Linked DNA regions of Tribolium castaneum. The protein of the gene in region 2 purifies or fractionates together with the protein of the main gene of each other region. This does not show direct contact. Links are inferred from orthologs where the notes say so. Each region holds a gene or a part of one and is shown on either strand. Other genes may lie near its edges. The genes, in order: calcium homeostasis endoplasmic reticulum protein and U2 snRNP-associated SURP motif-containing protein.

The links.
Region 1: the proteins of U2 snRNP-associated SURP motif-containing protein (region 2) and calcium homeostasis endoplasmic reticulum protein purify together in Homo sapiens (affinity purification with mass spectrometry; 4 studies listed by BioGRID and IntAct, with this or other methods). This does not show direct contact. The link is inferred for Tribolium castaneum from reciprocal best matches to the Homo sapiens genes U2SURP and CHERP.

What each region holds. Positions count from the first base shown.
Region 1 is NC_087395.1:15,657,265-15,660,764, forward strand, and holds the end of calcium homeostasis endoplasmic reticulum protein, read right to left. Parts: intron 1,840-3,500; coding exon 1,706-1,839; intron 1,578-1,705; coding exon 1,218-1,577; intron 1,171-1,217; coding exon 870-1,170; 3' UTR 618-869; downstream 1-617. Other genes in the region: mor (SWI/SNF complex subunit SMARCC2), read left to right, coding at 1-460. UniProt on the Homo sapiens protein: Involved in calcium homeostasis, growth and proliferation.
Region 2 is NC_087403.1:337,169-341,554, reverse strand, and holds the start of U2 snRNP-associated SURP motif-containing protein, read right to left. Parts: upstream 3,098-4,386; 5' UTR 2,928-3,097; coding exon 2,910-2,927; intron 2,860-2,909; coding exon 2,743-2,859; intron 2,693-2,742; coding exon 2,596-2,692; intron 2,547-2,595; coding exon 2,357-2,546; intron 1,745-2,356; coding exon 960-1,744; intron 344-959; coding exon 232-343; intron 186-231; coding exon 1-185. Other genes in the region: arrestin domain-containing protein 3, read left to right, coding at 4,042-4,150, 4,197-4,386.

The DNA.
Region 1 (3,500 bases), on a different chromosome or scaffold from region 2:
GACTGTGAAAGACAGCGAGATGCAGAGCGCGGCGGCGGCGGCTCTGGCTGCCGCCGCCGTCAAAGCCAAGCATCTGGCGGCGGTTGAGGAGCGCAAGATCAAGTCGCTGGTTGCGTTGTTGGTCGAAACGCAAATGAAGAAGTTGGAGATTAAGTTGAGGCACTTTGAGGAGTTGGAGACGACGATGGAGCGCGAACGCGAGGGTTTGGAGTATCAGAGGCAACAGTTGATCACGGAACGGCAACAGTTTCATTTAGAACAGTTGAAAGCGGCCGAGTTTAGGGCCCGCCAGCAGGCGCATCAGAGGCTGCAAGCGGATCAGGGCCAGTGGGCGATGCAACAGCCGCAAATGACGCATTCAGCGCCGCCCAACGAGGGGGCCCCGACTAACACGCCCACGCCCCCGAGTCCACAAGCGGCGGCCGTGGCGTCGCCGGCAGCCCCCCATCATCTAGCATAAGTAGGCTAAGTCTTAATGAAGGTATTAAAATCGTAACTTTGATTTATTCGCTTTATATTGGGTTTTTATTTTTATGTAGGTCACAAATCTGTGGTTCTTGTATTAAACTGTCGAAACATGGGTGTTTGTTTTATTCACTCATACAGTAAAACCAAAATTGTTTGGAACAATTTATTCTCATATAATACAATGAATGTGGACTTAATTAAAAATAGGATTTTTATTTAGTCGACGTAGATTTGTACATTACAATTATTTACATACCTTTCTTTACAATACGTGAGAATCACTTGCGCAACATAACAGTCAAAGAGGTACCGGAACATTACGTTTGATTAAAGTAAAGTAAAAAATGATGCTCTAACACGGAAAATACGGTACGAAAACGCAGTCAAAATAATGAAAGACCCTAGTAGTCAAGTAACTTACTCTCATTGGCTCTCTCCTCGGCCCGCGCCTTCATTCGCGTAATGAACGCGGCCCCCTTATTTTTCCTAAAGTTTTCATACGGATCGTTCAAATTACACCCTACACCTTTGAACTGATCTTGCCGATCGCGCACGTCCCCCCCGGAGATGGGGGCGTCGATGCCCTGCTCGTTGGCCCCCAAGCCGCTCCCGCCCCACCCCATTTTCCGCAACATCTGGTGTCCCTTATTGGTCGAGTCGATTTCCTGTTTCTCGTTCCGCACGAAACTCGGTGGTGCACTGCTGCAAGTAAAGTGAGTGGTCGTTTCGTTTGAAAATGCCAGTTGTACCTGAAACTTAGGGTTGGCGGCGGGGATGGCGAGCGCCTGACTGGCGACCTGGAGGGCGATCTGGAGACGCTCCTCCGCCTCCGGCCACCGCTCCGCGAGTGCCTCCTGCGCGGCGTGCGCGGACTCCTGGACCTGGAGCGCGACTTGGACCGGGACTTCGAGCGGCGCCTTTGCGGCGAGGGCGATTTGCTCGTGTACCGTCGTTTGGGCGGCGACGGCTCCTTCTCCATTGGCAGGACTATGGGGCTTGGGCTTCTGGACTTCTCGCGGAGGCCGGCGGCGATTTGCTCCTCCTTTTGCCGTTTCGCATTGTTCTTTGCCTTGTAGTATTCATACAAACCTAGCTTTTCCCAACCTTCACTGTTTTTACAACGCACATTGTTTATAAGAGAAACGACACGTCAGCATAATTAGTTATAAAGTATAGTATTTTTTGTATTGTGAATGTCAATTGAGACAATAATGTGACCTAATTGTCAATGTTTTACCTGTCTCGGGGCCGTTCGTGGCTGGGTAGTGAATAAAAGGCTTCCACAGCGGCCAGGAGACGATCGCTAGGGGGCGCTGGTGGTGGCAACCTAATATCTTTAGGATCTAACGGTTTATATGATGTATCTTCCAACTAGAATAAGTGTGTCAAAAACTATTACATGGTCGGAAACACTCACAAAATCTAGTTTTTAATTAATTTGTACATCTGAGACATCGAACAAAGTGGACACTCGGTTTCGCACTACACTTTCAACAGCTTCGAGGATCCATCAACGTCAAATGTCTCACTTTTCAAGCACGACAAACATTAATCCAAAACCGCAACTAATTCGAATATATTTTTTGAAACCAAGACTTAAAAATGTTTATGACAAAATCATTAGTAATATTAAATACGGCCTCCTGAAGCAATACGACATGTGGTGCCAACTAGTGAGGAAATCATAAGTGACGTTAATACAGCTCGGAAAAAAGATCTAATCAGAATTTTGTTAATGCAGTTAACAATAAGGAATAATTTGCTTAGAAATTCCCAACAGAGGTAAATTTATAAAAGATTTGGAATATATTTTTTTACTTACTTCACGCAGTACTGAAAGAATTAGTAACTGTATTCTATATCCGTTAGAAATTTTGAAAATACCAACTACAAATGTTTATTTTTGCGCCGACTAAAAAACCTAATACATAATATATACATAATAATATGAGGTCGAAAATATACTTTACATTATTTATTATTTTATGCTGTGTAAAATCAGCATAAAATAAGATAAGCTCAAAAGTGTAGCCGTAAATAAGCGGCTAAATTCTGGCTTCCTCAAATACAGCGTGCTCTAATTCAGAACATTCCGATCTCATGGTATTTGTTTCTTTTCTCACCCTGTATAGTAACATTGTTCGTTTTTTTCTGAAAAGATTGTACTATTTTGTCTTATTAAATATCACTAAACAAATAATTGGAAAAAGATGGCGTCTATATTATTAAATTCTTCTTAAAAAGTGGCTTTGTTTTAATTGTTTATCTTTTACAATAAGGAAGTTACGAATATTTAAACATTTCGCTTGAAATTATTTGCTCAAGAAATAAGCTTAAAAATGCGGCAACTCAGCAGAGATTATATTTTTTATTGGTGACGTTTTATCCATATCCTTACACAATCATTAGTGTCTCGTTTAATTTTAATCTGTTTGTTCTTTGCTAGTGTGCATAAAATCACAAATCAATAAAATAATCGATAAAACTTTCAAATTCTTTGGTTAGTATGTGCTACTGAAATGGATTTCTCAGGATGAAAAGGAGGAAACAATCTGGACTAAGGGGTTAGTCTTCAGTTCTTTTTAGAAAAAATTATATTAAGCAACGGCTTATACAAGGTGCTCAAAAACTGGCGTGGTACGTTATTGAGAAGCAAGTGCAGATTACGGGAAAAATGTTGAAAAAATTCCTAAAGTATATTTTAAAAAATCTGGAGCTACAAACTTATTGTGTTAACTTCTTTAGTTTTCATATTTTTTTTATATTTTTATGTTTTATACGAGGTAATCGTTCCGTAACAAAACGATGAATAATTATTTTAAAATTTACTATCAGACTTTAGCAGTTTTTTTAATTTAAAAAAATTAAAATTCATCAAAAAAATCACAATTTGTAGATGTGTCAACACTGGGAATTATTTCAAAAATAATTTATTTTTATTGTTGCTCAAATTCTATTGCGATCATGACTGTTAGACAACGTTGCCACATATCATTTACCTAAAATTAGTTATTTATGAATAACTTTAATAC
Region 2 (4,386 bases):
ACACGAGGTAAAGTCTGGCGATTTTTTTCGTGATGAGGGTTGAGGAGTTTGATAGTGATTCGGTGATACACTCGACCACTTCCTCAGCAGCGTCACTGTGTTCAATGCAGAAGACCATAGCTTCGCCGATTTTGCTCCGTTCGGGGGTTAGGGACCGTATCAGGTCTTCCAAGCGGTCTCGTTGCCTGTAAATCAAATCTTAGTTTTTGCATATTTTCACGCGTTACGTACGTGTTAGAGAGGGAGCCTTTCGTACTCTCTTTACCCTCGTCGTCGTTCACTAGTTCATCGGGCATCCCGGCAGTGTACGAATTCATCAGAGGGGGCTTCCAAATTGAACCGTCTTCGCAAGCAAACAAGAAATGTTTTAAATTATATAATTCTATTACAAAAGATCTAGATATTTTCTTTCATAATTTCCGACCAAAAACTCTACAATTCGATCTATTTAGTCTCTTTTTCTTCGTAATTTATAATGTTTTGTACAAGTGTTATGTCTCTATTTTGTCAGTTTTTTCTTTTTTGGTATTTTTTTACATATTTTATTTGTATTGTTTATATATTGTAACTGTAATGACTACTCGTCCATTTATATAATTTTATCCATACGAATTACATACAATACAAATGTCCTTCATATACTTCAGAGTATACGTCATTTTTTAAGAATAAATGTTTTTAAAGGTGACAAAATTTACTGGAGGATATAAAACCAGAACAACTTTAAACGATAAAAAGAACTTTAAAGAAAAACACAAATGGTATTATTTTTATTGCTTCTGTGGATTTTCTTTAAAATTCAATAATATCCCAACTTTTTTCAAAGTTTATTTGTATCCGTATGTTGTGTATCATGTCTTGACGGAGATTATAATTTTGCCGTTTGAGAGCGTTTTCGCGAAATCTCCACAAAATTAACACGTTTTAGAGCAAAACCGTCCAAAACACCAAATTCTTACTTTTGAAAAGTCGAAACTCTTTGACGCTCCACTCTTTCTGTGAATCCCCGTGCATGATGGAGTAGAGTTTCCACCGGTAGTAGATATGAGCCGGGCTTTGATTTTCGAAAAGAAACCTGTAATTAGGGTTGTGTATCTCCCGGTTCATAATCATAGCTTCCAACATGGGCCCCTCCCGAACCACAAACTCGACCATTCTGTGTATCAACATCAACAGATTTCTATCGGTCGGAATCACAACTTTGACAACACTGCGCCCCAAAATCTCGTTCAGTTCCTCTGCAGATTTGGGCAGAACGTCCTTATCCCGGGCGCAGGGCTGGGCGTTGAAGGGCAGTCCTGAGGGAGGCGGAGGGAAGGACAGTTCCAGGAGCGCGGGAGGGATGTAAATGGGATGTGGAGGGATTATTACCGATTTTCCCCAACCAAGTTTCATTTCATAACCTAGGATTTCTTTGCCGTTTAAGTTACGAAGCGCCCTTTCGCCGTCTTTTCGGCTCATGTAGGCCACGAAGCCGCAGTTGCGGCCCCGGGCCTTCTCCTCGTCCGAGCGGGGCCACATTATTTTAATACTAGCAAGGGGGCCGTAACGACCGAAAATTTCCATCAACTGTTGCTCGGTTATTTTGGGGTTGAGGTTGCCAAGGTAGAGGTTTGTCGTTGTGGGGTCGCCGTTATCGAACGACCCCAAGTCACCGCTCCGCAAAAACATGTCCAGCTCGGACTCCATGGGGGTCCTGAGCACCCCTTTGTACTTGTGTCTTTCCTCCCGCTCCTCCTGAATCCTGGCAAAAATTTCATCAAATTGTGCCACAAAACAAGAGACCGGTCAGAATAGACATTTCAATTTCCAAAAATTCGCATAGCGGTGAAAATTCGTACAGGACTTATGTAAACTATGACAAATAAACTATAAAAAAACTCCCCACCGATCCGACGTGTGCTAAAAAAATATTTTAATAACAATAATAATTTATTTATCCTTAGAAAATTTACATTAATTTATAGGACACGTCAAGTAATAAACTCATCATAACTGTTTTATCAAGATATGGTCAAATAATACGCCTAAGTATTTTATTGTTCCTAAGTTTTCAAAATTTATATTACGGAGAGAGAAAATCATTCATTTTGTTTTGCGTTCATTTAAACATAAGTACATTTGCAGACCATACAGGCGCTTTTTCCTGCATTTGGCATAATTCCGGCTTTACAAAAAAATGCAAAAACCGATACTTTTGTCCTTTGACATTGAATAACTTTTTTAGCACACGTGGGATCGGTGGGGACTTTTGATATTTTATTTGTAATAGTGTACCTAAGAACTGTACCAATTTTTAGCTCTACGCTTATCACTACATTTTTGTCTATTTTGACCAACTCAATGGTATATTTACTGTCTTAATTCCTCTTTAAACGCCTCTAGGTTGCTCTTAGTGTGCTGTTTCTTCTTCCCTAACCGTTCAGGCTTCTTATCTGAGATTAATTTAGCGTAAAACTGAGCTTTTTCCGTTGATGCCATTAATTCAGTGGGGGCTAGTCGGGACTGCGGTTTGTACAACTTGCCCTTGTCTTTAGTATCCTCCTCTACAAAAGCCCAATTTATTTTTGATTTTTTTCACAATTTAAAAAATACTTCGCGCTCCTGCATCGTAAGTCCCCGCTTTGACCCACACTTTACTCGAGCTGCTAATAGGGGACTCTTGGAACGTAGCGACAAATTCCTCAAAAACCTTAAATCGAAGAGGTTATGTAAAAAATACTACTGTATTACTAGTCCTACATGAGCCGCAGCCCGTTCCTCTTCTTTTTTCCGTTGTTCCTCTAATTCTTTTTTAGATAACGAACGTTTCCCCATCGTGCCGATCGAAAAAGCCTTTAATTTTTGCTCAGGAATGTTCTGTTACGAGAAAAACGTTAGTTTTGAGGGGTTTTATTAGGGTGAACTACCTTTATTTTATCACCCATTTTGGACGCAATTCCCACCAAACACTTCACAAAACGGTTTTAGCTAATTAATATTGAAGGAAACCTAATAATAGTCATAATATAATTGTTTAATTTCCTGATATGAAAAAATAATAATACACTGGTGGTTTTAGGGAGTTTGCGTTTTCATATTGTGGGCTATTGGCGACGCTGACACTGCGTGTAAACGTTCCCAAACTTTGGGCGAAAATACATGAACCAAAAAACAACAAAGTTAAAACAATATCCACACGTTTTTGTACTTTTTGTAAAAAACTAAAAAACTCGAAACTAAAAATTGATAACGTAATTATGTAACGTTTTATAAAAAATGGGTGTATTACGTGTTGCCTACAAGAACACTCCAAAATCTCGTAACTATGTTTATTTCAAAAATAAACAAAATGTTTGTGTTTACTGTAATTATTCAAGTCATTAGCTTCATTATGTGTTTATCATTTTCACATAAATCGTCCTATAAACTCATCAAATAAAAAATATATATAAATTAATAAAAAACGCAGACTGTTAATTAATATTTGTATCAACAAAAAAAATCATTACTATTTTATTTTCATTTTATTTTGGGAAATAATAGTCTCTACGACATGTGAATCGCTAATTACATAATCACTACTGCCAAGGCCGCTTTAGAGGTCGCCGCTCATTATTAGTATTATTGCATAACAGTGCACTTGAATTGCAGTTTTAGGGCGAAAAACTGTTTTCGTAGTCATCGATAGAGTAGTGTTTACGTGTAGTCGTATCAGCATTTTACGTTATCTCATTCATTTAGTCACAATTCTCCTTCCTTGTTTACTTCAATGGCCACAATTTACGACCTCTTCGTCTCACATTAGTGGGATGGGCTCAAATATTTCAACCAGTTTTTATTTTTAATTCAATTCAGTGGCGCCATTCAAGGCTGAATTCTCGTCGAAGTGGTGAAAAGAAATGAATTACGTCTAATTACGCCACGGTTTTTCTTCACTTAGGTACGTGGATGATTTATAATTGATTTATTAAAATAAACTGTCTCATTCATGAAACACTAAGGTAGGTTAGGATTTTACGACACATTTTTATACAGGGGGTGATCCACAATTTGGGCGAAATGTCTCAAGTTCGCATTTGTTTGGAGAATTATTCTGGGACATATTATGCCGGATCTGAGATTAGGGGCCGGCTTGAGTGTTATTTTGATGAAGAGACTACTGTTAGAGGTGCATTATGATTTTTGTAGCAATGTGTTTTTACATTTTTTTCTAGGAATAAAACTTGAGATCATATGTAGGGAACATAATGAGTGGACTGGGACTGAGGAGTATAAGGACCCAACAGACAATTCCACTAAAACACGACATATTACTTTAACCGGGGATCATGACGTGTTTCATGTTAAACAGATGTTGTTTGGGTCTGAATCTGGGAGTCGGGAGGTGTCTAGGGGGCGCCAAGT